Alligator mississippiensis: one gene and its partner. Each later gene encodes a partner of the first gene's protein in a complex. Links are inferred from orthologs where the notes say so. Each region holds a gene or a part of one and is shown on either strand. Other genes may lie near its edges. The genes, in order: THOC2 and SARNP.

Evidence for each region.
Region 2: THOC2 (region 1) and SARNP share a complex: the UniProt entries of both Homo sapiens proteins name them as parts of the transcription/export (TREX) complex. The link is inferred for Alligator mississippiensis from reciprocal best matches to the Homo sapiens genes THOC2 and SARNP.

What each region holds. Positions count from the first base shown.
Region 1 is NC_081831.1:71,264,532-71,280,199, reverse strand, and holds the start of THOC2 (THO complex subunit 2), read right to left. Parts: upstream 8,329-15,668; 5' UTR 8,292-8,328; coding exon 8,221-8,291; intron 730-8,220; coding exon 674-729; intron 1-673. UniProt on the Homo sapiens protein: Component of the THO subcomplex of the TREX complex which is thought to couple mRNA transcription, processing and nuclear export, and which specifically associates with spliced mRNA and not with unspliced pre-mRNA.
Region 2 is NC_081838.1:6,884,016-6,900,367, reverse strand, and holds the start of SARNP (SAP domain-containing ribonucleoprotein), read left to right. Parts: upstream 1-9,953; 5' UTR 9,954-10,010; coding exon 10,011-10,046; intron 10,047-11,880; coding exon 11,881-11,980; intron 11,981-12,476; coding exon 12,477-12,523; intron 12,524-14,672; coding exon 14,673-14,740; intron 14,741-16,352. Other genes in the region: DNAJC14 (dnaJ homolog subfamily C member 14), read left to right, coding at 3,101-4,192, 4,619-4,725, 4,987-5,106, 5,482-5,642, 5,780-5,882, 6,325-6,550; ORMDL2 (ORM1-like protein 2), read right to left, coding at 8,402-8,537, 9,028-9,179, 9,280-9,453. UniProt on the Homo sapiens protein: Binds both single-stranded and double-stranded DNA with higher affinity for the single-stranded form. Specifically binds to scaffold/matrix attachment region DNA. Also binds single-stranded RNA. Enhances RNA unwinding activity of DDX39A.

The DNA of each region.
Region 1 (15,668 bases):
ACTACTCCTCTAACGAGATCCCCAGACGTCATCCAAACAAAGCAAACACCTTCATGGTCTCAGTTACGTGGAGCAGCTTCTTCCAAGGGAGGAGAGCAGAAATGAAACAAATATGCAATTTCTCTCACTTATGTTTCAAAACTGTTGCTATCGTTTGTTACTGGCCATTTTAGTTATCCAAATTCTATGTTTAAATTTAATTTTTTCCCCTCCTGGAATTTGGAACTGAGAATTATTTCTCAACATTCAGTAAACTGAATACATGCACGAATGTTTGCTCTCTGAATTACGTAGCTACCTCGATACATGTCAAGAATTTCTTGCACACAAATTTGAGAGAGAACATTTGTTGAGGGAACAGTTGTTTTCTAAAAAACGAAAGCCGTGTGTCCGGAACTTGGCACTGAACAGGAAGGATAGTTTCCTTCTTCTCTAACCCATGGACTAGAATAGTTGTCTACCACTAGCTTGGCATTGCTCTCTCATCAGGATTTGGGGTACAGTGAAACTGTGCAAGTAACTTTTGCTATTTGTATATTTTCCCTCCTTAGAGTGCATTAATAATCACAGAAGTCACAAAGGCACATGTACCCATGGAACGATTGGATTTTATACACATATCCTCTACAAGATTATTGAAGCTTTCTTTCAAGAAGAAAAAAAATCAGTTTACCTCTGAAATTCATATCATGGCTTTTACTGTCACTGAGAGTGCGGCATAGCTGCAAACTGAAATAAGAGAAATATTGTTTGAAATTCAAATTACAAAAATCAGGACCAAATGTCAGCTACAAAAATGCACTGCCCCATACACTTGGATAATACTGACTATAAAATAAGTTCAAAACTGAACAGAAAATTTGATAACAAAGCTAGAACAGTCAGTGTTGAACAACAGGATCTCCCTCCAATATACAACCAGGGCTTCCAGACCTCATCTTTATACTTTCTCAGTTTCAGTAGCAGAAAACTGAGAAATTAAGGCAACATAAAGACATAAATGAAGGCAAGGGAATATTACGTTAACACATGATTAAACAATGACAAGCAGGTAGCCTTGTGATGGATGTTATTGAACTGTGAACCATATGAATACCTAGAATGTGTTTATTTTTTAATACAAAAGTACCAGCATGATTTCCTTATGAACATTTTCAGTAAGCACACTGATAAAGCCTTTATGTTTACCTGAAATTAAAAATATAGAAAGAGAAGTACGTACTGATCAGTTTTACCCTCTAAATGCCCACAGTATTTTGTAGAAATGCATTAAAGAAAATGCAAGTCTACCCAAACAGCTTTCTAAATTGTCATTGTATCCTGTATGCATTGTAAAAAACAAAAATGGATGGTGGATGATAAAAAAAAAAATCATCTTAAAATATGCACAGTGTTAATTGAAATGTCTGTGCAACAGACTTTTGCAGACAAGCCAGATTTTGATTCAAGGAAGTTCCTCAAGGCAGCAGTGATCACATGTTCTCATTGAGACATCAGGCTTTAGGATTGTAATTTATATTTAAAAGCAGCAACCTACGAATAAAATGGTAACTCTCTACATTTATAAAACTATAAAAAAGACTACACACATCAGATTCCTGACATTTCATGAAACACACACATGTTAAACTTACAAGTCCTTGTATGGTACATCCCACTCCAACATTTTTTAGGAATGTGAACAATGAATCAGTCCTATGCCATTTCTCTGTAGTAGAAGGTATAATTATGATATTCTCTCCTACTGGAAATTATCACTGTATTCTCTTAGTTGATTTATATAAACCTATATATATTCTTCTAGTTGATTTATATAAACCTATATGGTGAAATACTAACAATGCCTGATATCATGACAACAATAACACTATTTTTTTTTTTTTTAAACAGAGAGCTCCTTTAGCAAGTAGCCAGTCAGTTATGTTGTTTGTAACCAGTATACCACTGCCTTGCAATCTGGCCCAAACAGCTGTTCCATCAATCAAAGGAAACCATTTAACAACCAAAAGGTGTACATGCTGAGTAAGGCATTAAGAAAATGGCTAGTTTCATATTTAAATATAATGCAAGCAGCAGGCACAGAGAGCAACTACGTTGTAGGAGCTTTGCTGCTGCAAAAAGTGAGAGTCTACCCCAAACTGTCTTACAGTTACAGAACAGAATACAATAGATTGTTTCTAACTTAATCCACAACATATATGGAAGTCTAGCTCTAAAGGTAGTTGAAAGGGCGGTCTATTTTATTCTTTCACCACTGCTGATTTTTTTTCTATTCATTATAAAACTAAGATCAATAGGTTTTTTAAATTTTTACAGAAAATGGTACATCAAGCATACTATTTTTAAGTCATTAGATCTCAATCTAATCTAGGCCTACTTAAGTTTTTCTTAAATGCTACATGCATTCACTGCTATGCTCTGTTTAAAGCTAATGAAATTAAATTCTAGATCTGACAACAGGATTCATTTGGGCAAACCTTCAGCCCACACACGCAAAGGTTTTCTGACATTAGCAATGACAAGTCACAACTGTACTGTTAATAGGTCCTACCAGACCAAAGCATACCTAATTCAGGAGTAAGGATTTCAATTTGTTCTGTACAGGCAGCAGTAAATTCTTCCCAAATAATCAGGACACTAAGAATAATATTGTGTGCAGAAGCAGAAACCCGATTTTTAATCTCCATCTCACAGAGTATTCACAGATAAAGACTACAACATAAACATGAAGCCTCAACATCAATCATATTCTACCACCATCAAACCGACTTATACATTGAAAAGAAACTATATACAAAGAACTCCTTATTACAACAGCAACTTAGATTGTTAAAATAAAAACAAAATATCCCACAATTTCTTTTTAGCACTTACTAGCTACAAAACTCTCTTCTGAGGAACTGTCTACATGGAAAAGTTATACCAGTAAATTTAAACCAGAATGATCCTACCATGTAGGGGCTCTTGCTCCAACAGAGAAGCCTTTTATTCAAATTAGGTTACAATGTCTGGGAGGAGTTTGAGCTAAAATGAAAATAAAATTTATTTTCGTGGGGTTTTTTTACTAGAGCAAGAGCATTCCAGAGAGAGCAGGGAAGTGGGTGGTAAATAAAACTTCCCCTTGTAGACAAAGTCTAAGACACTGAAAATACAAACCAGGTCACATCTACACTAGTATTGCTCTACCAGCATAAATATACCAAAGTATTTCTAGTGTGAGCAAATGCACACCAGAAAAGCTACTCTTTGGATAGGGAGAGCAGTACATACAAAAAGCCATGCTAGAAGTGAAGTTTTACCCACATCCCTGAATTTGACATCTTTGAGCACCCTAAATTTAAGAACACTTTAAAATGAAAACATACTAAGCACCATAGTATTTTTTTCTTTTTTTAATGTTAAGAAGAAGAAAGCAAATGGAGAAAGGAGCAAGGCCTGGGCCAACAGAAGGCATATATAGCAAGAACAGAGTCCAGAAGCTGCAAAGATGCCATGAAAATTGCACATAACGGCCTGGTTTAAATGATGTCAACAAAATTGGTTACTTTTATGGTTAAGGAACACAGGAGACAAAGCATAAGTCAAATAAATGCAATGAACGCAAGACAGATAAAAGCCCTTTCTAAGGAAATTTTTAAATGTGTAAATTATTTTAAAATAACTGAATAGCATAAATAATGTAAGACCTAGTGTCACTATTAAAGTGATGCACCTCATTATTTTTTTAGGGACTGACAATCCAAAATAGTCCCCCCCACAAAAAAAAATTCCCCCCCAATACACCTATACCAAAGAGCTGTATTGCAAGAACATATTACATATGTAGTGTGAAAGAGATATAAGGTTTACAGGAGATCAAAGGTGGGTGTGAGGGTGGGGGAAGGTGGAATAAACAATCTTTTTTAATACTCAAACCCAAAAGTTTTCTCCAACTAGGTCAATTTTAACCTTGTGTTTTTATGTAACAAAAGTTAAGTAAATATTGAAGGGACTAAAGCCAAGACTTTTGGAACAAAAAGCCAAGTATTTTAATATTTTTTTTATGCTTTAAAAGGAAAGTAGGTCTCACTTCAATTTACTGGTACTGCCTCCAACCAGTGCACACAAACATTAAACCCCCTTAGGAATTTTTTATAATTTTTGTAGTGCATTGAACAAATCTAAAGTCTATCCATGCTTTCATTCCACTAAAGCATGTGTTCATTCATTTGCAACAGGTCTTAAAACTGTATTATACATTTTGAATTTAACTTAAAAATCAGAAGACTCAGTAATTTCAAAAAATAAAACCCACAGACTCCCTGAGGAACAATACTAAGGGATAGGGTAGTCTCTTTAATGATACCATGAACACAGACAGAACCATGAACTTTGTAAGAAGATGTCAGCAGTCCTTATAAATAACTTTCTATCTACAGATCTCAAGTCTTTTAGAGAGAATTGTTATCTCCATGTTACAGGCAAATATGAAGAACAGAAGTGAAGGCTACAGAGGCAGAATTGGACTCAGACTTCTTAGCACAAAATACAATGTCCTATCCACTGAAAAACACTCCTGCCTACCCTGAAGAAAAATTGTGTATGGAAATAATCAACAGAAAGGTCCTAAACCTACAAAGATACGTAACTTTACTTTTGCGGGTAGTCCTTTTGTCAACACAGTAACAGCATAGCTCTTCTACGTAGAATGGCAGAGCTGGGACCAGAACTCTGTTTTTCTGACCCTTAGTACTGTGCATAAAGCACTAACCAAGACTATTCATACTCTTCCTGTGAGTGGTCACAGACAAGCTTAAGGTGTCTGCAGGATGGATTCTCAAACACTGGACTCAAAGGGTTGATAAATTATTTTAGTTTATTTTGAAGATGAACAAAATGCATAAGCTGCTGGCCAAAGAAGGCTTATTAAAGCTACACTGAAAGAGCAGGATACATTGTAGCCTATCAGAAAACAAATCAAGATGCCATTATTCATATTTATTATTTGAGTCATGTCCAGAAGTCCCAGTTACAGAGCAGGATCTCACTGTGCTAGGTGCTGTACAGATACAGTGCAGCAAAAAAGCAGTCTCTAAGCCAGTGAGCTCACAATTTAAAGACAAGATACATATACAGATGAAAAAGTTCAAGGAGACAATACTGGTCAGCTCAACAGGAAAACTGCCAGAGACGGACTGAGCCAAACAGCATAGAAAATGTAAAGAGGACATACTATTACATGTCAGAAATTAGCTCATTAAAACAAGCTTACTTTTTTTTACTACTCTAAATAATAATTTTAAAACATGGATGCCTGTGACCACTCAGACTACTCCATGTGATATTATTACGCTAAATAGCGACAATCCACAGATACGTCCAGAATTGTTATCATCAGTTACCTGATGTCAGTGCTAAAGTTAATATTACTTTTCTTTAAAATATACAAAATTTATAGGTGATTATATAGTTCAAAACAGTTTACAGGTGCTGCATTTTGGAGCGTATTAGAACGCTCCATTGTCACATTTGGCATTTTTGCTTATCAAAACAAGTTAAAAACAAAAGTTTTTGTAGCTGTAGAAGCTAAGATAATGTTATAAGAGCCATCAACATATAAGTTCTAGATCTAGAGCATAACAGATCCCTACCCTTTTATTCAATGTTATATATGAGAAAGCACCAACCCCCACTCAGTTTCAAAGAATAACTAACTGACTACTACCTCCTTGCTAGAAGTTATGGAAAGCAAGCAAAGAGACAGAATCAACAAGAAGTGGTCACAGTCAAAACACTAAGCAAGACGAACTGTTCACCCTGCTTCAGTTTAGCAATTAAGGTCACCAATTTACAGCATATGAAGTAACATATTTAGATAACTAATAACTTCACTAACATACCATTTCAAACTGATTTTGTCAGACTTCATATGCTACCCTACAGACAAGCAATTAAAATTGTCCTGTCTACCCTCAGCTTTTCTTCCTGTTGACCAACTCTTGGTCATCTTGTTCATTTCTGGTTTTTCGTTAAGTAAAGGCTGATATTTTGCATTTCTTGTGAGAGGTCTCATCATGTTTAAATACAGAATTCCAAACTGCTTGGAAACTAAAAGCCTCCTCTTAAAAAAATAAACTAAAGATCTGTCACTTAACTTTACCTGCTAGAATTGTAAGGTTAATCCTTGTTATACCTCTCTCTTTTTCCTACCGTTACACAATTTAATTTAATTCAGTCAGTGGTTCCCGAATGTTTTGAACCATCATATTGACCCTCAAAATTTCACATGCCATCCACCCTTTACGAGCAAACTTTTAACTGAAAAGAGAGCAAAAGCAGTGCAGTGCAATTTAGGAGCCTTAAATTTAAGCTGCAAGCTCTTTTAAAGCTGAAATCATGTCTTCAAATAGAAATAAAATAGAACTGCATTTGGAAAACTGATTGAGTTACTAATCCTTCATCTCTAGTATTATTTTATTTTGGAGTGTCAACACATTCAATAATTAATTTTGTTAGCAGAGGTGGTAAATCAGTGTTTCAAAATGATAGCAGTTTCTGAAATCACTTGGTAAAGACTTTAAACAAAACCAGACTTTTTCATTGTTCACTGAATCTTCACAAATATTTGATTGTCTTTTTTCACTTTAAAAAAAGTTTTACACACGTTTAAAACACTGGATGAAACTATGTTGTACAACCTCATTACCCAAGCACACAGATAATCAGAGATCACTTTCAGTTTAAGGGGTCTTTTTTAAAGGAGTCCTTAAACACAGTTGCCAAACAAAATTTAAACACAGTTTAAACGCTGTCCCAGTTAAACTGGTATATCATCGTGAATGGACCAAAATCTTGTATACATGTTATCTGCAAGTACCAAGGGTTAGGTTAGAGTACATTTTAAAAAGTTAAGACAAACTAGTGTGTGTTAAACAAATGGCCTACAATTTGAGCTCTTCAGTAGGCAAAGGCCGGGCTAACCTGATCTCTTCAACAGCAACTGCTGAAAATTCAACTGATGCACAATCTTAAAATAATTATAATGAAGATATGATCACGTCAAGTCAGTTAGCTCAATATCGAGTCATATGAAACAGCTCCTAACTCAAATGGATGACTTAAAGCAGCAGTTCCCAATGTGTGGTACATAGCAGACAACCCGTCAGCGGTACATGTTAACAGATGTACTATAATTACTTCATATTTTAACATGCATTTTTTATATATGGTACGCATTAAGAGATGTACTATAATTACTTCATATTTTAACATGCATTTTTTATATATGGTACGCATTAAGAGATGTACTATAATTACTTCATATTTACTTCATATTATAACATGCGTTTTTATCTATATGGTACGCATTAAGAGATGTACTATAATTATATCATAATATGTATTTTATAGAAATACGACGAAACTTTGCTTGTGGTACTTAAGGTCGAACTGAAAAATGTGCTGGGTGGTACTTAAGGTTGTATTGTTTTAAATCGGTGGTGTGCTGTCAGAGTTTGGGAACAGCAGATTTAAAGTGTAAGTATATCTACATCTACGCTTTTTATGCAACCAGGTGGGCTATACCCATTCGTAAGCATCTCTCTATCCACTTTTCTCCTCCACCGACAGCAGAACATAAGCGATCTGTAACAAAAGGGCCGCAAACCTATCTACCCCAGGACATAATCCGGCTCAATCTGATTATGAATTCAGCTGTCAAGACGTAATCCAAAACAGGGGAAGCTAAAAAGTAATTTGAACTTTAGCGTCGCTTTAGACTCCGAGTGCTGCCAGAGACCTACGATTTCTCCCTCGTCTAGTTTTTTGGTCTCCCCAAAACAAAAAAAGTTTGGACGGGACCAGGACTCGCACAATGCAGGGACCTGACGACCAGGCTACTCCTCCCCCCTCCAAAATGGAGGCAGGGCGAGCCAGCCGCGCCCCCTTCCCCTCACCTGGGGGGCAGGCGGGGGCGGGCAGAGAAGCAAGCCGGGGGCGAGGGGGAAGGGGGGCAAGGGGCTTCCTAAAAAGAGCCGCGCGCGTTTGGCCGCGAGCGTCTGGTCCGGGTGGTGACACCAGGGGGCTGCTCAGAAACACAATGAAACGCAGCTGCGATATCCGGGCGCCCCCGCCCCGCGCAGCTCCGCTGGCCTCGGCACAAGGGCAGAGGCCGCTGCCGGGGAGGGGCGGAGAGGAGCCGGGGAGCCCGGCCGCGCAGGGGAGGCAGCGGCCCGCACTCACAACTCGCTCTTGCCCGCTTTCTCCCAGTTCTTTATCCAGTCGGCAGGGAGCGCCGCCGCCGCCGCCGCCATCTTCCCCGTGTGGCGCCGAGAGCCCGGATGGGCAGCGACGGCCGGGGTCAGAGGCCGGCCGCGGGGCACGCCGGGAAGCGCGCGCGGGGCACGCCGGGAGCCGCCGCTCCCGCCTCCCCGCCAATGCCGCGGGTTCGAGCCCCGCGCTCGTGCCGTGGTGTTCCCGCCTCCGAAGTGCGGCCGAGATGCGAGTGACGGCGGCGTCTTTTCAGTTGGATGCTATGATCTTTCCAGCGGGGGGAGGGGGGATTTTTCTTCAAGAGGAAAAATAGAGGCGTCCGGTTTCTCTTGACGAGAAAAGCAGAGTTTGTACAGGCGTCCGGTTTCGGATCAACGGACTAGCTTGACGGCCGCCCGGGCTTGTCGTGACCCGTGGTGGCCTAGGCTCGCGGGCTGCTTGACCAGGATGGCGGCTCTGGCCAGAGGCCCCCTGGGGACGGGGGGGCGTTTTCTTGTCCCTGGTCAGCTCCAGCCGGTTTCCCCGGGCCGCGTCCGCCGGCTCCTCGGGGTCGCTTGCAAGGTGGCCGGCGTGCGCCTTCCCACTGCCCAGCCCTTCGGGGCACCCCTTCTGAGCCATCGACCTCCTTCCCCTCCCTCTTTTGTCTGTTCATCCCATTCATTCAATTAACACTACCCAATAGCCCCCCTACTAATGGGGAAGGTTAATTAGCCCATGGGCGACTGGTGCCACCTTAGTTAGGGGGCAAGTGCCCCCCCAGGGACCAGTCAGCAATGGGGGGGAGTCCTCCCACGGCCAATCTCACCAATGGGGGGGTCCCCCACGGCCGATCACACTGACCAGGAAGCGGCCACAGCGCTCCCACTCCCGAGCTGGCGCCCGCAGGGGGAGCACCAACGCTCCCGCCTGCCCCGCTTGCCTGTCACCTACACCGAGAGTGCAGCCGGTCAGGGGATGCACCCCTACACATCGCCACCGGATTAACCGCTGCTGTGTGGGCCCGTGTTCCCAATCGAATGACTTGCGGCAACCCCCACTTCACACTTTCGCTTAGTGCTATTTCACTATAATGTTCATTTTAAATTGATACCTGATTTCACTTAGCACTCAGTGAGTTTCGTTATAATGCTCACGGTCACCATCTCGGGTCATTAAAAACAATTGTGGTCGTGGGTCATCAAATACGTTCGGTTTCGCTTAACGCTTGGTTTTTCGGGAACCAATAAACAGCGCTAAGCGGAGGTTGCCTGTAATGACTGTTTTGCAAATTATAAAGACTCATGGTGGAAGTCCTGTTGCAAACGTAGCGCCCTGAAGGACAAGACAAGATCTGAGCATTAAACAATAAACTTTTAGCTTTGTTTTTTTGAGGTTTGATTTTTAAATCTCAGTCACTCCCAGGGAAAACACATGGAAGTGGTAAATATTAATCAGCAATGTTGCCTGTGCTTCTCTTTATTGCACTAGGAGCTCTTTGCATTCCTTACATGTGCTGTCACTGCTGATTTTAGATATGACTTGCCAAAAATAGGATTGGTCATGTACGCCATTGATTTGTGCCTGAAAAATTAGAAATCAATTTGGTGAACAGAAAAAACGTCACTTTCAGATTTTTTCAGCTGCATTTTACAAAAGTGTCCTGAAGTTGACAGTAATGCTGAACATTAGGAAATTCTTGTTTATGCAAAACTTGTCAATTATTTATTACTAGTGGATGTGCCAGTTTTTTAAAAAGCTGAACTAAATGCATACATTTCAAGCTTATTTTTATGTGGCCACTTTCATGATTTCTTACACAATTCTTTTTCTAATGCAGTATAACCTATGTACTTTCACTGAAATCCTTGCACAATCATGGAACGATGACCTGACTGGAATAACAGAGACTTGGTGGAAGCGCGCATGACTGGAGCACTGTCACGAATGGGTACAAACCGTTCAGGAAGGACAGGCAGGGGAGAAGAGGAGGAGGAGTTGCGTTTTGTATAAAAGAACTGTATGATTTCTCAGAGCTCCGGTATGAAACTGAAGTTAGGCCTGTTGAAAGTCTCTGGGTTAGGGACAGAAGGAAGAGCAACAAGGATGATGTCACGTTGGGTATCTGCTATAGATCACCTGACAAGGAGGATGAAATGCATGAGACTTGCTTCAAACAGCTAGCGGAAGTTTCCCAATCACAGACCCTGGTTCTTATGGGGGACTTCAATTACTCCGACACCTGCTGGGAGTGCGTACAGCAGTGCGCAGGCAATTCAGGAAGTTTTTGGAGAGTGTTGAGGACAATATCCAGGTGCAAGTGCAGAAGAGGCCAACTAGGGGCTATGCTCTTCTTGACCTACTGCTCACAAACACAGAAAAATTGGTGAGGGATGTAGAAGTAAATGTCAATTTGGGCAGCAGCAACCACGAGATGACTGAGTTGAGGATCCTGAGGAAAGGAAGGAAGGAGATTAGCAGTGTATGGACCCTGGACTTCAAAAAAGCAGACTTTGACTCACTTCAGGAACTAATGGGCAGGATCCCTGGGAGGCCAGTCTGATGGGGAAAGGAGTCCAAGAGAGTTGGTTGTACTTTAAAGAAACCTGAAGGAACCCAATGCGCAGGAAGGACTAGCAAGCATGGCAAAAGAACAGCTTGGCTTAGCAGGGAACTCTTCAGTGAGCTAAAACACAAAAAGAAAGCTTACAAGGAGTGGGAACTTGGACAAACAACTAGGGAGGAGTATAAGAGTATTGCTTGGGTATGCAAGGATGAAAACAGGAAGGCCAACGTGCAATTGGAGTTGCAGCTAGCAAGGGACGTGAAGGGTAACAAGAAGGGTTTCTACAAGTATGTCAGCAACAAGAGGAAGATCAGGGAAACTGTGGGTCCCTTAATGACTGAGGCAGATGATGTGGAAAAGGCTGAAGTACTTAATATCTTTTTTACCTCTGTCTTTATAGACAAGATCAGCTCCCAGACTGCTGCACCTGGTAACAAAGTTTGAGGAGAAGGTGAGCACCCAACAGTGGTGAAAGAACAAGTTAGGGACTAATCAGAAAAGCTGGACTTGTACAAGACCATGGGGCTGGACGCGATGCACACAAGGGTGCCGAGGGAGCTGGTTGATACGATTGTAGAGCCACTGGCCATCATCTTAGAAAACTCATGATGATTGGGAGAGGTCCCAGACAATTAAAAGAAGGCAAATATAGTACCCATCTTTAAGAAAGGGCAGAAGGAGAATCTGGGGAACTACAGACCAGTCAGCCTCACCTCAGTCCATGGGCGCCTGGTGCCTTCTGAGTTGGGGGGGCACTTACCACCCCCAGTGGACAGTCAGCAATCGGGGGGGAGGGGTCCCTTGCTGCCAAACGGGGGAGGGTTTCTCCTGTGGCCAGAACAAGTGAAAAGGGCAAACCGCACTTTAAAAATTGGCTCTAAGAAAAGTAGTAAGCCAACAAGACAAAGATTGACAAAGATTAGGGCTTTGCAACAAAAACAACAGTTGCCCATGAAATCACTCCCTACTAAGCCATGACTGGCAGAAAAAAATGCAGATGCCCAAGCTTTAAAGGTAAAATGTAATCAGATGGACAGACAATTTGGGCCACTTGAAAACCTGTCAAATGGAAAGTTGGTGCCCTGGTCATGTACCAGGCTTACTGGGGGAAAAAACCATGTATTGTGCTCCATCAGGGCTGGACCTGCCATAATTGTAAATAAGGCTAGTCCTACTGTATATCAAATTAAAATACAGTCAAAGAGAAAGGAAATCAAATTGAAATGGGTCCACACATCACAATCAAAGGCTTGAAAACGGGGCAAAACCCTAATAATTATAACCAGATGTTAAGTGAGGCATCTGCCCTGGCAGTTTCTTAATTTTGTTTTGCAGGCTAAAATGCATTTCCCATGTAACATTACACAAAAGGAAAAATCCATGGCCTTCCAACAATTGAGTTAGTAAAATGCTTGTTATACTGTGCAAAGGGGAAAAAAACAAAAAAACCCCTGGGCAAGATGTGTTAGTAAGTACAGGTGCTTCTTTTCCTATAAGTAATGAGACCTCCCCTTTCCAATTCTGGAAGGCAAATATAGTATTAAAGGATTCAATGAGAAGGAAACCAAAATGCCTTTACCAAACCAAGACATTTATTTTTACAGGGAAGCAAAAAATAATTAATCTACATGTAATTCTTCAGGGGCAACAGTGTGCAGCCTTTAAAATAAATCAGGTTTTGGAGTTGCCTTGGGACTGAACAGGGGATGTTAAAAAATGTTAGCCAGCCAGCACCCAAAGGGGTAGGCTAAAAATAAGCTGAAATGTGGGAACAGTTGCCCGATCAATACTAAACTGCAGTTATACCCTATGTAGATGATGTTTTAATTCATGGACCCATGCAAGAATTTATGAAGTCATCTGTGCACTATTATAAATTATTCAAGATACAGGATTTAAAGTTAACAGACAAAAAACCTCAACTAGTACAGCAGGGGGTAATATATTCAGGAATCAATGGCACGGTCGAACTCCAGGTGCCTAGTGGGTAGAAGTGATTGAAAAATTGCCAGCTCCCACATTCATTAAGGGCTGCTGGTACCCTAGCTATAAGCTATCTAGCCTATCATTGGATGTTTGGGATAAAAAATGGCAAAAAGTAAAATTATTAAATGGCTAGCTTTAATTGAAGGCTACAATAACTTCCCTATCAAAGGGGGGAGCTCTTTGTTTTATGTTTCTTTATAGGAAGGCTGATGAACTGTGAGGCCTCGAAACCAACCCTGAGGAGGGAATCGGGAAGCAGGGCTTAATGAGCGCAGCCGCAAACCGATCAATTACCGGCAGGGAGCGGCAGCGTGAGAAAAGAAGAAGAGAAAACCAGGGAAAGTCTCAGTAACATGAGGGAGGCTGAGCACAGGCAATACTGACCAGCCCCAGCCAAACCTGGAAGGGTAACCAAAAAAGAGTTGCCCGGGGTTTTACGCTGGCAACAGTGCAAAGAGACTGTAGCTGCACTAGCTAATGAGTTAATTAGCACCACGGAGCACTGGTGGGACTTACCTTGAAGTTCCCAAGGGAAGGAATCCACTCCAGAGCTGACGAGCGGTTCTGGGAGAAAGTTGACAAGGCTGTTGCCTGCAACTCGGGCCGCTGTAAAAGAAAGAATAAAAAATACGCGGAGTGACTTAACATGTCGGGGGAAGTTATCCTGCAAGTACCAATTAACTTCATACCAATCTCTTTCCTCCCCTCATAAGACCAAAGTTGTGGCAGGAGAGTACAAGAGGAAACGGGTGGTATTGCGCAACCCCGATAACACTAATAATGCCCAAGTCCACATACGAACAAAGTGTTATGTGCTATTGACCACAGTTGCTAGAGCAGGACTTGAAGTAGCTGTTTTATAGATAGTGCCAATATCAAAATTTTGGCAAACAAATTGAGCTACACTACTGCTGAAGTACAAAAGATTAGAAGGTCCTTTGTTGGATCATTATCCCGCCTAGGAAGACGAACTGGTGGGAGACATTCTACTCATGTTACAGAGGATAATCAAGTGATTATCACTGCCATTGGCACACTACTTTGATACAATGTCTCCCTGCCACTAGCTTGCATCCAGGCACAGGTCCTAAGTCAAAGTACAGTTATCCAAATATTTTGTTCAGGCTTTCAGGGTCACCTTCCTATTGAACTGAAAAAAACTGTGTGGGATCACACCTCTGTGGCAGAAAGGGACCTTTCTGTTTTGTGGAAGTTGATCTCTTTTGTCTATGAGGAAGCACAACGAATTGTTACTTATATAGTCACTTGATGCTAATTCTCAAATTACTATATACCCATTGGTGTCGGTGGGTCAAGTTAGTGAGGGACTTGTCATGTATCCACGATACCACCACCAGTGGGCATATAAAGAGTGGGTGCATGGAAAACAAGTAATATGAAAGTGTGCCTGACTCATGAAGATGTGGAATGTGTGTAAAGATAATAATCCAGGGGTTGGCAAAATGCAGCCTGGGGGCCAGATGTGGCCCGCCAGGCCATTCTATCTGGCCTGCGGGGCCCCTAAAAAATTTAGAAAATTAATATTTATCTGCCCCGGCTGCCTATCATGCAGCCCTCGATGGCTTGCCAAAACTCAGTAAGTGACCCTACGCCCAAAATAATTGCCTGCCCCTGTCATAATCTATATGAGCAACATGATGTGCAACAATATGTTTTTGACATGACTAGTGAAAACCATTCTGCAGTAGTTCATGCTGAAAAAGGGTGTATTTGTATACGAACACATTCTCGCTATGTAATGCTTGATCAAATTTGATTGTATTTAATGACATTTTCCATTAACCAAAGTTTTTGTAATGTTTCATCTACCAAAAGCTGTAATTTCAAATACTTTGTGCCTTGTTGGCTGACAGAGTATCCGGGCTAGACTATGGGTTTATAAAACCATTACTCCAGTTGAGTTAGGTTTAAATTTGCCAATGTTAAAACAAGTTTTGTCTCATCCCGATGTGCATGCCATGGTAAATTCTATTAAACAGCGCAGTCATGAAACCATAGTACAGATTAAACATAATAATAAAAAAGTTTTGCAGGTAATGGAAAAAGTCCCAAGACATTCTCGGTGGGCAGTTTTGTTGAGATGGAGCCCTACTGCCCAAGGAGTTTTAAATCTAATGCTTCACTCCACTGTGGAGATAACCCAAATTGCTATGGTCATCTTTGTTGTTGTTTTAACTGACTGGACATACTGCCAAGCTTATCAGTTTCACAGAGGTTGTGTTAACCTCTACTAGACCCCCACTATGAGTCTTTATATCGGAGGAACAGAGGTATACGCTCCACAAAGACGAGGTACATTGGTGTGATAACCCCTCCATGGAGGAGTTGTCACAGGGGGGAATTGCTGGAATCCAAAGGCCTTTAGGTCTGGGTTTGATGCTTGGGCTCAGCTCAAACTGCATGCTGAGCTTGAATTGTGGTCAAGACCTGTACCCAGCAAAAGGAACAAATGGAAAAAGACTGTCCCTGACTTGAAATAGGAAGTTGGCTAACTAAATTGAATCAATGTAACCTGGGCAAAAGAGGAACAGTCAGAGCCAAACCTACCCCCACCTAAGAATGAAAAGATTTGCTCAGAATAGAAAATTCCAGTTAAAGGTAACCATATTTGGCAAACAGAAGCAAGATTATTAATACGCATTAGGAGGAAGGCTTACGTTAATGTTATATATTAAGTAATGCAAGTTATATGGTATATAAGGAGAGGTGAGAGAGCGTACTCTTTGGAACGCTCCTGAAGAGATCCTGTCATCAGTCCAAGATCCTGTCTTGACATCAGACATGGGAGCCAGGAACCCCGGGCAAAACTTCACAACCTGATCAACCAGTGAAGTTGCATTCACAACATTTCAGGGTGGTGAGCATTTGC
Region 2 (16,352 bases), on another chromosome or scaffold:
GCCCCGCTGGTGCCCCTCGCTCCCGACCCGCAGCCCCTGCCCCCCACAGCTCCGCCGGTGCCCCGCACTGCCGACCCGCCCGGGTCCCGCTACCTCGGGGCGCACGGGGGCCGGTGCCGCCCGATGGGGCAGCGGAGCGCGCGCCGGGGGAGGAGGAGGAGCGGGCGGGGGGAGATGCGGGGTCCGGGAGGGGCAGGGGCTGCGGGTCGGGAGTGCGGGGCACCGCGCGGACCCCCGCGCCGTCCTGCGCCGAGCCCGGGGGGGGCTCCGCACTCACCCGCTCCCGGCGCTCCCGGGCTCGGACCTCCCCGCCCGGGACCCTCACAACTTCCCCGAGGCTCCGGCCCCGCCGCGGCTCCGCCCGGGGGTGGGACGGTGGGGCCCGGAGGGCGGGCCAGGGCCGGGGGGAGCCGAGCGCAGCGCCCCTGGCCGCGCACGGAGCCGTCGGGGGGTCGGTCGGTGCCCCCGCGCCCTGGCGATGTTGTCTGGTGCAGAGGGGGCCGGTGGGGGACCGGTGTGTGAGCCCCCCCGCCTCGGGCCGGGGTCCTGGTTCGGGCTCGGCTGGGCTCCACCTCGGGAGCCGACCCTCGGGGCTGCGGGGGGTGGGACGCCTGGGCCCTCCGTGCTCCCCAGAGGGGGAAACTGAGGCAGGGAGAGCAGCGGTGGCAGGGCTTGGGGGGCGCGATCGGGGGACTGTGGGCCGGGAGTGAGGAGCCCCTCGCTTGAAGCCTTTGTGAGCCAAGTCTAGTGGTTACAGCATCAGGGGGTCAGGACACCTGCTGCCTGCCCAGTCTCTGCCCCCGGCCCTGGGCGGGCGCTTGGCCCCTGCTTTGGGCACCCGCGGCTTGCCCCACTCTGGTCTGGGAGCAGGGAGCAGATGGGGGCACAAGAGGCTGTGGATGCCCCCCGGGACCCCACTGCCCTCTCCCAGCAGGGCAACCACTGGACCCCACTCCCCTCTGGCAGCAGGGAAAACCCCAGTGTCCCCACGTCCCCTCCCCCTGTGCCAGCTCCAGCCCCCTGCCCCTAGGCCCTGCCTGCCCCTCCCCCCCTGCCTGGCACGGGCTGTTCCCAGCAGCCAGAGGAGCTGGGCAGGAGCCAGCGCCTGCTGCCAGCAGGATTTTCTCACCCTCTCCCCGGCCCCCCTCCCCCTGAGCTGGGCCAGGCCCAGGGACTCCTTCCCCCCACCCCAGTGCCTGGGCCTTGGCACCCGCCAGCATCTGGGTAACTGGAGAAGCAGAGTGTCCCTGGGCGCCGGAACCGGGGCTGGCCAGAGGCCCCGACTGCTGGGTTCCTTCAGAGCCACCCACCCGGGTCTGCTCCTTCCCCACCTTCGCGAAGGGGAAACTGAGTCACGGGCAAGGGGAAGTGGTCGCCCCAGCTCACGCAGCCATGCGGGCGATGAACCCAGGCGGCTGGGCCCTGACCCCATCCCCTCCCGGAGCAGGGGCAGAACCCAGGTGTCCGGGCTGTTAGGCCGCCAGCTGCGCCCAGCCCTCGGGGGGCGCGGAAGTGGCTTCCAAGGCCCAGGCTGGTCTGGGGTGAGCGCTGCCCGCGGCCCCGGGAACGGGACAGCTCAGACTCGGAGCTGCCAGACAGAGGTGCTTGTGTGCGCCCGGGTGCGGGGCAGAGGGCACGAGCCCTGCACTGCCGGCCTTGCACGCCCGGGGCAGCCCTGGGCCCAGGTCAGGGTCACCCCAGGGCCAGGGCCACTGTGCAGGGGCCTCCCCGCCTGGGTACAGTGGGCTGCCCTGGAGGAGGTGGGTCTGGGAGCCCAGACGCCTGGGTTCTGTCTCCCCATCCACCCCTTTGGGGGTGATTTAGGGCGGGGGGGGCTGGGAGCCCCACTGCCCTAGAAGTGGGGGGCTTGGGGGGGCTGGGACCCCGCCTGGGTTCTCCCTGTGAGGGGGGCTGGGAAACGCGGCTGTTGCCGTCTGCCCGCCCAGGTGCAGGGGCGGGGCCGTGCCTCAATTTGCCCGTGGGGGGGGGGGGGGGACACACGGTGACGTAGTTAGGAGGTGTTTCCCGCCCAACCGGCAAGGGGCGCGGGTCCTTTAAGCAGCGGGGCAGAGGCGCGGGCGGATGTGACGTCACAGTCCCCTTCCCTCGCCTCGCGAGCTCTACCCCAGAAGCGGAAGGTAGCTGTTGGCAGGGGCGGGCGGAAGGCGGAAGTACGGCGCGGAAGGGTCCCTTGGCGGAGGGGACCCCCGGGGCTGCCGCGGGCCAGCTGCTGCAGGCCGGGGCTCTTGGGTAAGGGGGGGCTCGAGCAAGGGGCTCTCAGGAAGTGGGGGGGCTCTTGGGGAAGGGGGGGCCCTTGGGCACTGGGGAGGGGGCTGCAGCTCTTGCCCCAGGCGCTGCCCGCGTGGCCCCCGGGGCCTCGTGGCCAAGAGGGATGTGGTTTCGGGCTCAGCCGGAGGCCGCGGAGGGGCTGGGAGACGGGACCCGAGCGTGGGCGGGGGGAGACCCAGGCGGAGAGGGTGGGGGTTGGCGGCTGGAGGGGACAGCCGTGGCCTCACCTGTTTCCCTTTGATCCGCAGGGGATGGGGCTGAGAATGGGAGCCCAAGGGGTCAGCTGGGCGTCGGACACGGGGGCAGCTGCTGCATGTGGATCGAGCACCCCTGCTGAGGTCATATAGAACGTGTCCCTGCCCCCCCCCCCCCATCTTCCTGGAGCCCAGCGTTCCTGAAGGCCATTCTCTGCCTGGGAAGCAGAAGAGAACACGTCTCTGCACACCTGTCTCTGAGCCAGCCCTGGCCAAAGCTTCTCCAAAGAACCATGCGCGGTTTGGGACTAGCTGGGGCTGGCAGGTCGGCTGTTATTGCTTCCAGAGCCCCTGGGGAAGATGACTTGTCTCTGGACAAACCTTCGGCCGAGGAGCAGGGGAATGGGCTGGCAGTCGGCTGTTCTCCCCTTCTGACCCCTTCAGGACCCAGCATGGTGAGCGCAGGCTACGCTGTGGATGGGAGCGACAGCTGGAATAGAAGCTGTGACCCAGCGCGGCCCTTCTCAGCTGAGGATGATGAAGACAACGTGCCCTTTCTGTGCTCTGGCAGCCCTGGCCCCCAGCTGGCCGGGTCCTGTGGCTGCTGAGGAGAGAACATGGATCCCCCCCAGGCTTTATCTGAGAAGAGGAACAGCTCATGCAGTGCGAGCTGTCAGCGGTGGGTTTCGGAGGCCTCTGGTGCAAAAGGCAGAGCTGACCCGAAGCCACAGGGCTTGTGGCGGGACCCTGAGGAGGACAATGGCACATCTGGGGCCCCCAATGACCTGTGCGATGCCGGCCGGGGACCAGGCTGCCGGAGGAGTGGAAGACGGCGGAGGCACTGCTCTGCCACCAAGGACAGGGAGGAGGGGGCAGAGAGCACCGGACGGGAAGGCAGGGCAGGGCACAAGGCACAAGCAGACGCAGAGGAGGAGCCATGCGGACAGGCGGCTCCACCTTCGCGCCGAGGAGCCGGGGCACGCAGGGGAGCTGGTCCGGCTCTGCCTGTCTTGCGCTTGGACACTTGTCGACCTGCTGGTGCTAGTCACCCACAAGTGCCGCACATACGTGGAGGCCAGGGCGCGGCTCCTATATTCCTGCTGCCCTGGCTCTGGGACCTGAGCTCAGCTCAGGCCAGTGTGAGGACGTGGGGCCAGCAGCTGTGGCGGAGGATGGTGGGCAGTGTAGCCCAAGCCGGGTGCATCCTGCATTCCTGGGGGACTAAGGCATGCCGGCTGCTGCGGATGCTTTGTACCCTGCTGCTGCCGATGCTGGGCCTGGGCCTGGCCCGTCTGCGGTTGTGCTGGTGCAGCGCCAAGGGCGCACTGCTGGCGGGGGTGGGTAAGCTAGGTGGGACCCATGGTGTGGCACGGCTGCTTGCGCACCTAGATGCACACTTCCTGCACAGGACATGGACCTTGTTCAAGGAAACCAGGACTTGCAAGTATGTGTGGGGCTGGCTGCGGAAGGGTGGAGCTCCCCTCTGGGACACCCCAAAACTCAGGACAGAGGGGCTGGGAGGAGAGGCTGGCCCTGATAGGGGTGCGTCCAGCGCAGCCGGGGACTGCCAGTCTGGCAAGGAGGTGGCCCGGCTGCTGGCCATGGCAGAGGTGCCAGAGGAGGAGCTGGACCCCTTCCAAGTGCTGGGCCTGGAGGTGACGGCCACAGATGCAGAGCTGAAGAAGGCCTATCGCCGGCTAGCTGTGCTGGTGAGAGCGACCTGGCGGGAAGGGGAGGGCATATTCAGGCAGTAGATGTCCCCTTAAGGCCACATCTTGCTGGGGTGAGAGCGCTGAGTTGGGCACTGCGGCTCTTCAGCCTCTCCCTACTGTGGCCTGGGCTGCAGAGCGAGATGTGCCAAGGCACTGACCTGCCCAGGGCCCCCTCTAAGAGCTGGAGTAGGGGCTCAGAATCTTTGTGAGGCCCACATGTGAGCCAGTCATTGGTGATGCCCCTGGGGAATGGCAGCTGCCCACATCTAGCACTAAGTGCCAGATCTGGGTGTAACTCCATGCCCATACTGGCTCTGACCATGGGATGGGGGGCTCCTGGGTTGCCCCCAAAGGGGATCTTTCACTGGCCAGCCCCCAGCCGGCAGGTGTTAGTTGTGCTTTTTGGGATCCCCATGCTTCCAGGTTCACCCTGACAAGAATGAGCACCCGCGGGCAGAGGAAGCCTTCAAGGTGCTGCGGGCAGCCTGGGATGTTGTGAGCAACCCTGAGAAGAGGAAGGAGTATGAGTTGTGAGTGTGCCGGGTGCTGCCTGCTCAGGCAAGGCAGGGAAGAGCCAGGGGTGTGGGTGGCGCAAGGCATGGTGACCCAGCAGTTGTTGAGACACCGAGCCGGCTGTTTTCCTGAGGGCTGGGGGGTGAGGAGGGACTGGGTTCCTGGCTTCTGGGTCTTCTGAGTTGCCCTGGTGGCTGCCCTGGGTCACTGCCGCCTCCAGCCAGTGTGTGTGTCGGGGGGCAGGGCTGGGACCTGACCCCTGCCTGCTCTCATGGCAGCAAGCGGATGGCGGAGAGCGAGCTGAGCCAGTCCATGAATGAGTTCTTAACCAAGCTGCAGGACGACCTAAAGGAGGCCATGAACACCATGATGTGCAGCCGGTGTCAGGGGAAGCACAAGTAGGTGCTGGTACTCCTGGGCAGGTCAGAGCCCTCCTTGCCCCCAAGAAGGGCTCTGTGTAGGGTCCCCCTGCTGCAGTCCAGCACTGCAGATCTAACTTGTGAGCGCATATCCCAGAGGACAGGGCTGGTGCTCTGATTTCCTCAGCTCCAGAGCCGGGCAACTGCTGGAGCCTGAGCAGAGTGGCTGTGCCTAGGTGCCCTGCTCTGGACAGGTTGCAGTGCCTCAGGGCACAGATTCCCAACCTGCCCCTGGGCTTGGGACCCCATCCCAGGCCTCTAGAACATTTTGAGGCAGAGGGTGCTCAGGCTGGCTGCCTAGCCTGAGGCCATCCGTGCTTTCCCGGGCTCTGAAAGAGCTGCCTATTGCCCTAGACGGTTCGAGCTGGACCGGGACCCGCTGAGTGCCCGCTACTGCGCAGACTGTGGTACGCTGCACCCTGCTGAGGAGGGTGACTTTTGGGCCGAGTCCAGCTTGCTGGGACTGAAGATCACTTACTTCGCTGTGATGGACAGGAAGGTCTATGACATCACAGGTATTGGACTCCAGCTGGGCTGCGGCTCCTCTGCCCTATCCTGTATCTCCCATGCCAGACCCAGTACCCCTCTCCTCCCCTCGCTGCATCCTCGGGACAGCTCCCACCCAGCTGATGGTGCCTCTCTGTCCCTGCAGAATGGGCTGGCTGCCAGCGTGTCCCAATCTCTCCCAACACCCACCGTGTCCCCTACCACATATCGTTCGGTTCCAGGAGCTCCAGCATGGGTGGACGCCAAAGGTGGGTGTTGCCGGCTGGTTCGTTTGCAGTGTCCCAGAGTCCAGGTGGGAGAGGGGAAGAGTGTGATTACGACCTTGGGGCTCTTTGGGGTCCCATGTGAGCACCTGCTTGCCCCTCCCCTGCCCCATGCGGCTGCTTGGGGGTGCATTAAGCAGGCCATTGGGTCCTGGCTTAGGCTGCCTGGGCAGGTGGGGATGTTCCCTATAAGCTGTTGGCTGTATTCATATGTTATCAACTGCCTGGGGGAGGGCATGCATCTAACTTAGGGACTGGTGTGGACAGAGCTGAACGTATCTGGCCCTAGGGAGCCCAGCAGTGGCCCTGCTTCTCCAATGACCGTGGAGTGGCGGAGCGGCAGGTTGGGGTGCAGCCTAGGGCTCCCCACATCAACTCTGATTCCCCTCCCCCTATGCTGGGCCTGACTGCTCTGCTCTCTCCCCAGAGCCTCCTCAAAGGGCAGCCCCGCCTCGGCCGCTGACCTGCAAGACTTCTTCAGCCGCATCTTCCAGGGCAGCCCTGGGCCGATGTCCAATGGGGGCTTCTTCAACCCATCCCAGCCACCGCCGCCGGGGGCAGCAGCTACACCCCCAAAGACAGATGGTGCTGCCCCCAAGGGGGATGCGAAGCCCAAGAGACGGAAGAAAGTGCGTCGGCCCTTCCACCGCTGAGGGAGGCAGCTTGGACTTGTCCCTGTGGGAGCGAGCGAGATTAAGCCCCTTGTTGCGAGTGGCAGGCGGGCAGCCAGGCATATCCTGGGCCCGGGGAGACTGTGCCCTTCCCCAGGCACTATAAGGGCTCTTTAAATAAAAAAAAAACCTATTATATTTTATTTTCTTTACCAACCTGCATTTTCTCTGGAGCTAGAAGCATCTGGGAGCAGCTTCCCTGGGGCCAGCACCAAAGAGCTCCGTGCACTGTTCCTTCTGTGTCCCAAGCTGCCAGGGCGTTTGTGGAATCCCTTTGTCCCAGCGGGAGCAGAGTCGGCCAGGGACCTAGAGGTGGTTTTGTATTGTCCCCAGAGATACTGGGATGTCCTGCAGGTCCTGTGCTCCCCTCTAGTGGGCATATGGGGGCACATAAATGGTTTCTTCCCCACCTGCGCCAAATAAATCTGCTTGGGGGAGCGCCAGTGTCTCCAGGAGCCCAGCTGGTGTGTGTCTGTGCTGCGGGTGGAGGAGGACAGTCCAAGGCAAACTCCCTGCTCCCCTTTGAGTGCCCGGGCAGTGAGGAAGGGCAGAGTCAGACATGGTGCCCTGGGCTGGAACCTCTACTCCCTCAAGCACCACCTGGGCTGTGGGAAGGCCTGAGGCAGAGTAGGGGCCTGGTTCCTGATATGGAAGTAGGTGAAGGTGCTGGTGTCCTAGTGCAAGTCTTGGGAGGGACTGGGGTTTGTTCAGTAGAAGTTTATAGGACCAGGTCCCAGAGGGGAACTCACTCTGCTCCCTGCTTCAGAAATTGCCTGGGTGGCAGCCAGGGACACTTGTGCCACTGGGATCCTGGTCTTGGCTGCCAGCAAATCGGTCAGAGGTGGGGGGGAGGGGCAACAGGGAGGCCAGGGTGCTGGAGCTTAGCAGTGGGGATGGCGTAGGGAAAGAACAAAGCATGCTGCTGGGCTTGAGGAGCCTGGTGGGGGTGGGGAACTTGGCCAGCAAGGGGTAGGGCAGGGCAGCTACTCTGTCCTTCCCAGAACTTTGCATGGTCTCCATTGTCCATGGAGTCTCTCTGGCAGCCTGCCCAGGCCAGCTCCCCTCCCCCTCACTGCCACTGTGTGAGCCTCATTGTTCCCTGCTCTGTGGGAGGGCCCCCCCCCCCCCCCCCAGCATGAAGCCAGATGCTGAGTTCTCTTCCCTAGGCTGCCACTGCCCCTTGCTGGCTAGCAGGGATAGTGCCTGCCTAGGAAAGGGGCACCTGATGGCCTTGCTGCCTTAGGACGGGGCTAGGAGACCGTACTCAGCCTGTGCAGGCGCTGCTCCGGCAGGGCAGAGGTTCCTTAGTAAAACAAGAGCTCTGGTGGGTCACGTGGTTGTAGCCACTTTGCTGCACTCATGGTGCTGGGGTGAACTCCAGGCTGCTGAAGTGACCGTGTCCCATTCTGGGCGCTCGTATTGAGCCCATGCAGGCGCTGAGCCCACTGCCCCGGCCCCGGCCCCTGCAGCAGCTCCATGCTAGTGTCCTGAATGGCTTTATTATGGCAGGAACATAGAAAAGGGGGGGAGGGGGGCAAGGCAACGTGGCTGTTCCACCAGCTGGGCAGTTCTCCCCTCAGCCTGTGGCTCTGGGAAGTTCAGCTGGCTCAGAGGGGCCGTGCAGACGCAGCTTACACACTCTGCTCGCTTCAGACAGCTTGGCTGCCTTGGGCTCAGAGAGGAACTTCCCCCAACAAACAGCAGCGCTGCAGGCACTAGGCAGTCCTGCTCCCTCGCTGGCCTCGTCTGCTCCCTGCGGAGTGCACGCTGCTCCAGATGTCCACATGGTCCTGCTCCCTCCCCGCAGCGGCAATGTGGAAGTTAGGCTGGGTCTCAGTACTTGTTGATGCCAAAGATGCGCACCCCGTGGAACTGAGGCAGCTTGGGGAGCAAGACACTGAGCAGCGAGGCTGTGTTAATGATGAAGTGCGCAGGGTCGTATTTGGTGTAGAAGCTGGTGAGGAGGTAACTAGGAGAGAACAGCGAGGATGGTTCAGTGCCCTGCCAGAGTCTGGCAGGGAGGCAGGACTGGCAGAGACTGGAGCCCTCCACGCGAGGCAATCATCCCAGGAGCCACGCAGCTCAGGCCGGGCCCTGCGGTGTTTCTACTTAGTGCTCAAGTGCAACCTGCTCCTTGGCACCCCTGCATGCGGCCCAAGGCCCAACAGCTCGCTGCAGACCAGGCCAGGCAGTTTTCCTGGCTCTGAGCAGAAAACACCTGCTCTTTCTGGGCATCAGAGCTGGGCCCAGTCCCACTGACCATTCCCGCGATGAGTAACTGAAGCTAAAGCCACGGCCTGACTTGCCTCAGGATCGCAGCGGCCTCTGCAAGGGGAACGTGTCCCCTGCCATGAGCCCTCCCACGCTCACGCCATGAACAGCCTCGGGCGCCGCCCCGGCCTGCAGAGCCCGGCAAGGGGACAGCACGGCAGGGAGGCCCCGCACGCAGCGGCACTCACAGGACTACTGGCGAGATGCTGAGGAACTTGCGGGAAGAGGTGCACTGGGTGCCGTAATCGATCTGCTCCCAGTGGGTGAGGAGACGGGCCTTGCCCTGGTCCGGCGTCTCGAACGGGGTCCCCTTCACGGTGTGCAGCAGCCAGTACATGGCCTGCGGGGTTCCAGCGCCAGAAGGAAAGCGGATGTAAGGGGGGGGCTGGCCCCGGGGAGAGGGACCCCCCCCCCAGCTCCTTGCCCCCGCGGCGCCTCACCAGGTTGTGGATGACGTTGGTGAGGGTCCACACCACGGGGATGCTGAAGAAGGGGATGCTGAGGAGGACGATGTGGAGGACGCCCACCAGGATCCCGTAGGCCAGCCAGATGCCGCGGCTGTTCATCACGCGCGTGTTGGGGTTCCCCTCGCTGTGCGCCACCCCCACGTTCATCCTGCACGAGGCCCCTCGGCTCTCGCCCGGTCTGGGCGCGACCGATCCCCTCCAGCGAGCTGGGAGCAGGAGAAGGGGCCGCCCTAAGCGGGGCTGCGACCCGGTGCTGCTCCCCGCCCCGGTGCTGGAGGCGGTGGGGGGGACACAGGCGCCCAGGCCTAGTGCTGCCCCCGCAGTGGGCTGGGGAAAGGACCCAGGAGTCCGGGCTCAGCTCCTCCTCCTCCCGCCTTCCCTTCCCCCCACCTGGCGGCGCCGCGCCGGTTACCGGAATCCCCCAATGCCGGGCTCCGTCTCCAGGAAGTGCCTGCGCCCGCCCCTGTGCCACTATTGGTCGTCTCCGTACCCAACCCGCCGTCCTATTGGTCCATGGGGGCGCCACTCGGGCCTACTCCCGCCCTCCCCGCATCGCGCGAGCCAGGCCAATAGCGAGCCGCGGGGTTGGGCCAATGGCGAGGCGCGAGGTTGGCGGCGCCGACCCGGTAGCAAGCGGGGGCTCCATTGGGCCGGGGAGCCGGGACGGGGCGGGGCGGGCGACGGCGAGCTGAGGGGGCGACAAGATGGCGGCGGAGACCGTGGAGCTGCACAAGCTGAAGGTGCGGGCGGAGTGGGGGGATCCGGGCTGGCTCAGGGGAATCCATGTTTGAAGCTTGTTCGCGACCCTTTCGTCTGTGTCGTGTCCGGGGGCGGGCGCCAGCGCGGAGAGGACGAGGACACGTTGGAGAGAGTCCAGGGAAGAGCAGCCTTCACCTCCCTGCGGGGGGGGATGGAGCTGGGCTGGCCTCAGTGGTGGCAGATGGCGGAGGGGGGAAGTTGAGCCGAGGCCAGTTTCCCGCAGCGCTCGTGGACCTTTGTTCTCGCGGCCCCCGTGGGCTCCTCTGCGTGGGCTTCCCAAAAGCCGACTCTTGCTGGCTTGTCTGGGGACCGGCCCGGTTTGGGAAGGGCCTGATTATAGGGAGGGTAAACGCTGGTTGCTGCGAGCAAGGGACCTGTGCCAAGGTGTGCAGAGGCGTTCGGTGCATCCCTGGTCGGAGAATAAGGACGTTTCCCCGGATACGTCACGATTGCGGACGCGCCCAAAGACCAGAGGGGATGTGGTACTTTGGCAGTGGCTAGCTCTGAATGTGAAACGGTCTTGCAGAGAGCGAGAGGAAGGCCCTGGGGCCTGCTTGAGACCCCGAAAATTAGACTGGCTAAAGGGTCCTCTGGGGAGTGCTGTGCTGAGCCCTGGCGGGTGGACTCGGTGATCTGAGGGCTGTCTTTCTTTTCGCGTATCCTGTACGGTGGAATAAATAATATCTCCTAGAGACGTGGCCTTTCACCTTAATCTGTGTGGACTGTGACGTAGAGGGACGTATCTTTATGTCATTGGGTGAAGCCAAGTCCCAGAGGGATGAAGTATCTTGTCCGAGGCGCTGACAAATCACTGACACGGCGGAGGGCAAGTTTCATAAACCTGCTTTCCGGCTCCACCTCGGCGCAGGCCCCCCAGAGCCTCTGCCATGCCATGCCATGCTGTCTCCTGTGAAGTTTCACCATCTTCGTATTTTGCAATTGCTCATTAACACAGTGCCTAGGTGCTGCAAGAGGTAATTGCCAGGTCTTCAGAGCTTGGTTTTTTTTTGGCATGACCGTGGAGGTTAGTTACCCTTAGCAGGTGTGATGAAAGGTGCTTTGTTACACACAGCAAGCAAATGTAACTCCTCTGCCAGTTTTGTTTCACGTGGGGTGTGAACTCTGCTTTCAGGACAGCATAAAACCCACAGGATGCAAAGCGGGCCTGTCATGCTGAGAGACAGCGTGGAATCAGGTCCTCTACTTACAGTAAATCCTTGGTCTTCCTTGAGCTCCTGCTCAACTTTTGGGGTCTGAGGAGTTTTATTAATGGAGGGAAGTGAAGGCACAGGAAGAATACTGGAAATTGAGAGATGGAGAAATTGTATGAGATGTTCTCACTTCTGTCTAGGGCAGCACTGTGCCATGGCCACTTGGTTTTGTGGATTCCTGGTTGTTGGTGGGGGGGAAGGGGAGCGGGTTAAGTAAGTGTTATAGCCATGTAGAGGGGTTTGGGTTGTAGCCGTGTTGATCTAAGGACATAGGCAGACAAGGTTCCTTGGGTGAATTTGATATCTTTTATTAGACCACCCCAAATGGTTGGAGAATAGTTATTAAGCAAGCTTTCGGGTTCAAAAACCCTTCGTCAGGCTAAGGAAGCTTCAGCAGTTGGTGACTGCCATGTAGAGAGAGTTATCAAAGCTAGGAGGAATCCAGGCAACCAGGCTTGTAATCCCCCTGCTTTGACCAGCTGGCCGTGTTGCTATTCCTTTGTCAGTGACCATGCCCTTGACGTCCCTCTTTGGCTTTGGGTCTAGCCCGTTCATGGCTCACATGGGTGACGTGTACTAACAGGAAGGCTGTTCTCTCATGCAGCTTGCTGAACTGAAACAGGAATGTACAGCCCGTGGCCTGGAGGCAAAAGGAAACAAACAGGACCTCATAAACAGACTCCAGGCATACCTTGAGGAGCACGGTAGGTCACGCTTTCTGCTGGAGTCAACTTTCCTGGGCTTGGGCTTGCTGTAAGAATGCTGACTGGGTGTCTCAGGGCTGCAGCCTCTGAGGAGAGAGCTCTTTGGCATCGTGGTCCTTGGAGCATTCCTGCTGTTGGGTTCCATCCAGCAGGTGTTAATCAGACAGAGCTCCCATACAGTGATGGTACTGTTTGGAGAGCCAGAGCAAGACTGGGCCCATCTTAAGGTTAGGCTCTTTTTTTTTTTTTCCTTTGCTCCCAGTGCTACTGCCTTAAACAGCACTTTCTAGAGTGCTGCAGTGTGCATGTCTTATATGTAATCAGGTATCACAGTGCTACCTGAAAGAAGAACCTGAATAGAAACCTCTCAGCACTGATTTCTTGGTGTGTGTGGAGAACACCAGCATTCTAGGAGTCTGTATCCAAGTTCTATTTCAGGCCAGCCTGTTGATTTGCAGTAGCAATTATCTGTGGGATGTTTTTTAAATTCTTCTAGCTGAAGAAGAGGCTAATGAAGAAGATGTCTTGGGAGAAGAAACAGAGGTAAGTCCTATTACCACAAGATTATCACGCTATCAGTGTCTTTGGGCATAGCTCTGTTCTAATTTGCCTGATGTTGTCTGGTCTCTGGCACTGTGATCAGGTAATGGATCTGCTTCACTGTTGTGTGGAACTTTCTGGTGTACTTTACATTGTTACTAGCAGGGCTCTTTGGAAGGCATAATCTTAGAACCTGGCTCGTGTTACAGAATTGGACACATTTCCTAACCAGCCTTGGGTAGGAAGTAAATGGGCATATCCCCAGGCCACCATCACCCCTGGACAGCAAATTTTATCAGCTGGAAAACATGGAAATGAGTGATTGCACCTGGCAGTGCTAATTCTCTTTCTCCTTAGGGCCAGGCTCCTTCCAAGTTGGTGAAGGCCCACCCTTGTGGGTTAACATTAAGTACTTAAAGCTTTCTGCCCATCTTTCCTGTTTCCAGCAGAAAAATATTCTAGTAGAAGGTTAGAATGAGATTTGCAGACGTGGCGCTGGGGTTTGGTCATATGTATCATTTGGTTCCAACTCTCTCCTTTGAGAAGGTGCTCATCCCAACTGCATTTTCCACGTACAGCAAAGCTTTATCTGGCACCCATGAGGAATGAGGGGTGCCGGATAACCAAACATGCCTGTTATCTGAGAGGCTGGTTACTCTGTCCCACCCCTCCTGCTGTGTTCGGTGTGCACTGCCCCTGCTGCCGCGTCAGTGTGCCGGGCGACAGGGAGGGGTGGCAGCGCAGACTGCTTTGCCCTGGGCTGTGGGTGCTCGGTGAAACCAGAAATGCCATGGTGGGCACTTCCAGTTTCACTTTTACCTCACAAACCGGCATGCCGTTTAATAGAGCAAAATGGTTAATAGAGCGTGACAGTTTGTAAGGTGCTAGATAACGCGGGTTTTGCTGTACTCAGGAAGCTGGAGGCTTCTTGTGTGGCAATAGCGTTGCAAAAACTAATATCACTCAGTTTGTTTATCTCCTAGTTCCAAAGCCTGATAAGACAAAAGATACTGCAGACACAAAATTTTGGCAGTTGTCTTCAAGCCCAACAAAATCTCTGGCCTGTGGCATCTTGGCTAAAATTCAGAACTGATGCAAGGAGGTGTGGCTCTAGTATTTCACCTGCATACACCAGCAGCAGACCTGATGCCAGTCATTGTACATATGTTGTGTGTTTAGCTAGTAAAACGCCTTGAAACGTAAGAAACCCAGTGAGAGACTTAAATGCTGGGTTCTTAACAGTTGGATTGCTAATATTAAAGTAAGTCTGTCACCCTGCAAACACTGAAGCAACCATGTAACTCTACCTATCAGCAGTTTCCAGGATGACTGCAGAATCAGGCCCTGAAGTTTTACAGTTTACATATCCTTAAGTCTGAGCCAGTCATAAAGAGAAGCCAGGGATATATCTCAGCCTTTTCTTTCATTAACTCCTACGCTTGTTATTTCATAGCTGTTAAATATAAGCATAGTCCAAAATACAAAATGTGGGCATTTAAAACCACCCGGAAGATCATTTCAGGTGGCTCCAGTGATTTTACTGCACGTGAAACTAAGTCTTGTTATTAATAGAGCTTTACAGTTCTCCAATGTAACCATCCTCATAGTGTGCCACCACATAGCTCTGTTGTCCAAAGTGTGCTCTCATATTTGCATGTGGGTTGGTGGGGCATGCCCAGATGGAAGGCTGTATTGCACTTTCCAAGGAGCCAGAGCTTAGGTGTCCTGATCTGATTTCTGGACAACAGCCCTCTGTAACAAATGCTCCTCGGAGCATTTGCTTCAGCTCTTCCAGCCAGTTGCAGCAGAAGACAGGAGTTCCAGCAACAAACTGCCCTGCTAGAAGCATGCTAATATTAGAAGGGTTTACATTCCCCTGTAGCTTGCTAGATCCCCAGGGCCTGTCTCTCCCTCAAGGAACAGGGGAAAGCATGTTGGCTTTGATGCTGAGATGACGAGGGAGCAATGTGACTGATGGGCCGTGGGCCTGTTGAATCCAGTATGGAATATGGAAGAGCTTGTTCCCATGCAGTTTTGCTTTTAAACCCATTAAGCTTCACCAGTCTTGACTGCCCCCATACAGCGCCTCTGGCACTTACTCAGCTGCTTGGAATACTAATCTGACTCACCATCTCAACTCATTGAATTGCAGGAAGAAGAGCCGAAGCCAGTAGAACCTCCTGTCAAAGTAGAAGAGCCTCCTGTAAAAGAAGCTGATGTGTAACTATCCATTTTGTGTAGGCTGAAATGGGCTGGGGTGGCTGTAGCTCAGGAAGAGAGTGCTTAGGAAGGGAGCTGGTAGCATTTTGTGGACCTTAACCCATTCCCTTCCGTGTGCGTCCAAGGAGCCTACATCACAGTAACCCAGTAGGACAGATCTGTGGCTTGGGGCAATAAATGTCAGTTGTGAAAAGCCTGGGGCACCTGGGAATTGCAGGCTCACCTCCAGGCAGGGCGGTTTAGCCTTGGGACCCCTGGCAGAGATGTGGCTTCCCTGCATTTCGCTCTGTGTGGATATTCAGGAGATTTTCGAAACAGAGGTCCCTTCTGCTCTGCAGTTAGCTAACATCCTTTGCAAGAGTGGGGTTCTCTTCCCAGATCCTTGGCCCTCGCATCCCTGCTGTACTGGCTACTGCCATTTATCTCCAAGCAGGCTGCATTTCAGGGATGCTGGGCTAGGTTTGTGAAGGATTTGGGGATGCCAGTGCTAAGCATGAGTGATCTGTCTATTTCTGACTTGGCTTGGTGCTCCTCCTCCCATCACCCTGCATCTCTTTCCCCTTTTGCTCATGTGACCCATGGTTCTGGCAAGAGAGAAGGAGCCAGCTAATAAATTGTTTTTCTCGCTTGTGCATTGTCATGGTGCTTCTCCCACAACCTTGTGCTAGTATCCAGCCTCACAAGCACTTGCTGTTGCGGTTCTCAGTACAGGTTTCTTACCAATCCACATCCATAGCTGTTGGCAGCTCAGGGTGGTGATTTAGCAACTGCTGCAGATACAGCATGCATGGAGATTTTACTGCCAGAAAGTGCAAAGGAATTGAATCCTCGGGTTTTGATCTTTGCAACGATGTATCTTGTCTGTGCAGAGAGATGAATTGAAAGTGGTGCTCTACCTGGTGAACCCTGACAACTAAGCTGAGTAGGAATCAGTAGTGCTTTCACCTTTCTTTTCTGACCCTGGTCCATCCCTGGAAGGCAGAGCAGGGAAACCCTTCCTTGTTCTGTTGGATACAGAGCAGGGCCGCAGAGGGACAGTGGCTTGTGCGAGGCTGTCAGTGGAGGTAGTGTTGCTGCGGCAGCTTGGACTTGGATTCTTTCTCTCAGTCTCCTGCTCAGCTGATCTCACATGTTTGAGTATGTGTTGCCAGTTACTGCATGCAGGTTGTGAGTAGGAGCTTCTTGGGCACCTCTGGTTGACTGGGAAATGGACAAAGTCACTTTTGTTTTGCACTGGGATGAAATGCCGTGGGGATGAAATGTGCTTCTCTGCTGAGGGCCAAAACAAAGCCTCAGTAAAGCTATCAGAATAGTGCTTGAGCAATTTGTAGCCCTCGTGCTGGCCCTCTGCAGGGGGTGGGTGTCACCCTGACTGCCCACTTGCATGTACACACACACACAAAGGCTGTTGGTGTTGCCTGATGGAAGCTGACGTAGGGGGGATGAATGAAGTGCTTCTGCATTGAAAGTATAGCTCTGTGTTGCCTTGTGTGGGTAATGTAGTTCAGATGGCTCCTTTTTCTTAGACCCCGTCTTCTCTGGCCCATCTGGGTGTAAGTTTTGTAACGAGATGGATGATCCTGGTGATTAATATTCAGCTAAACATAAGCCA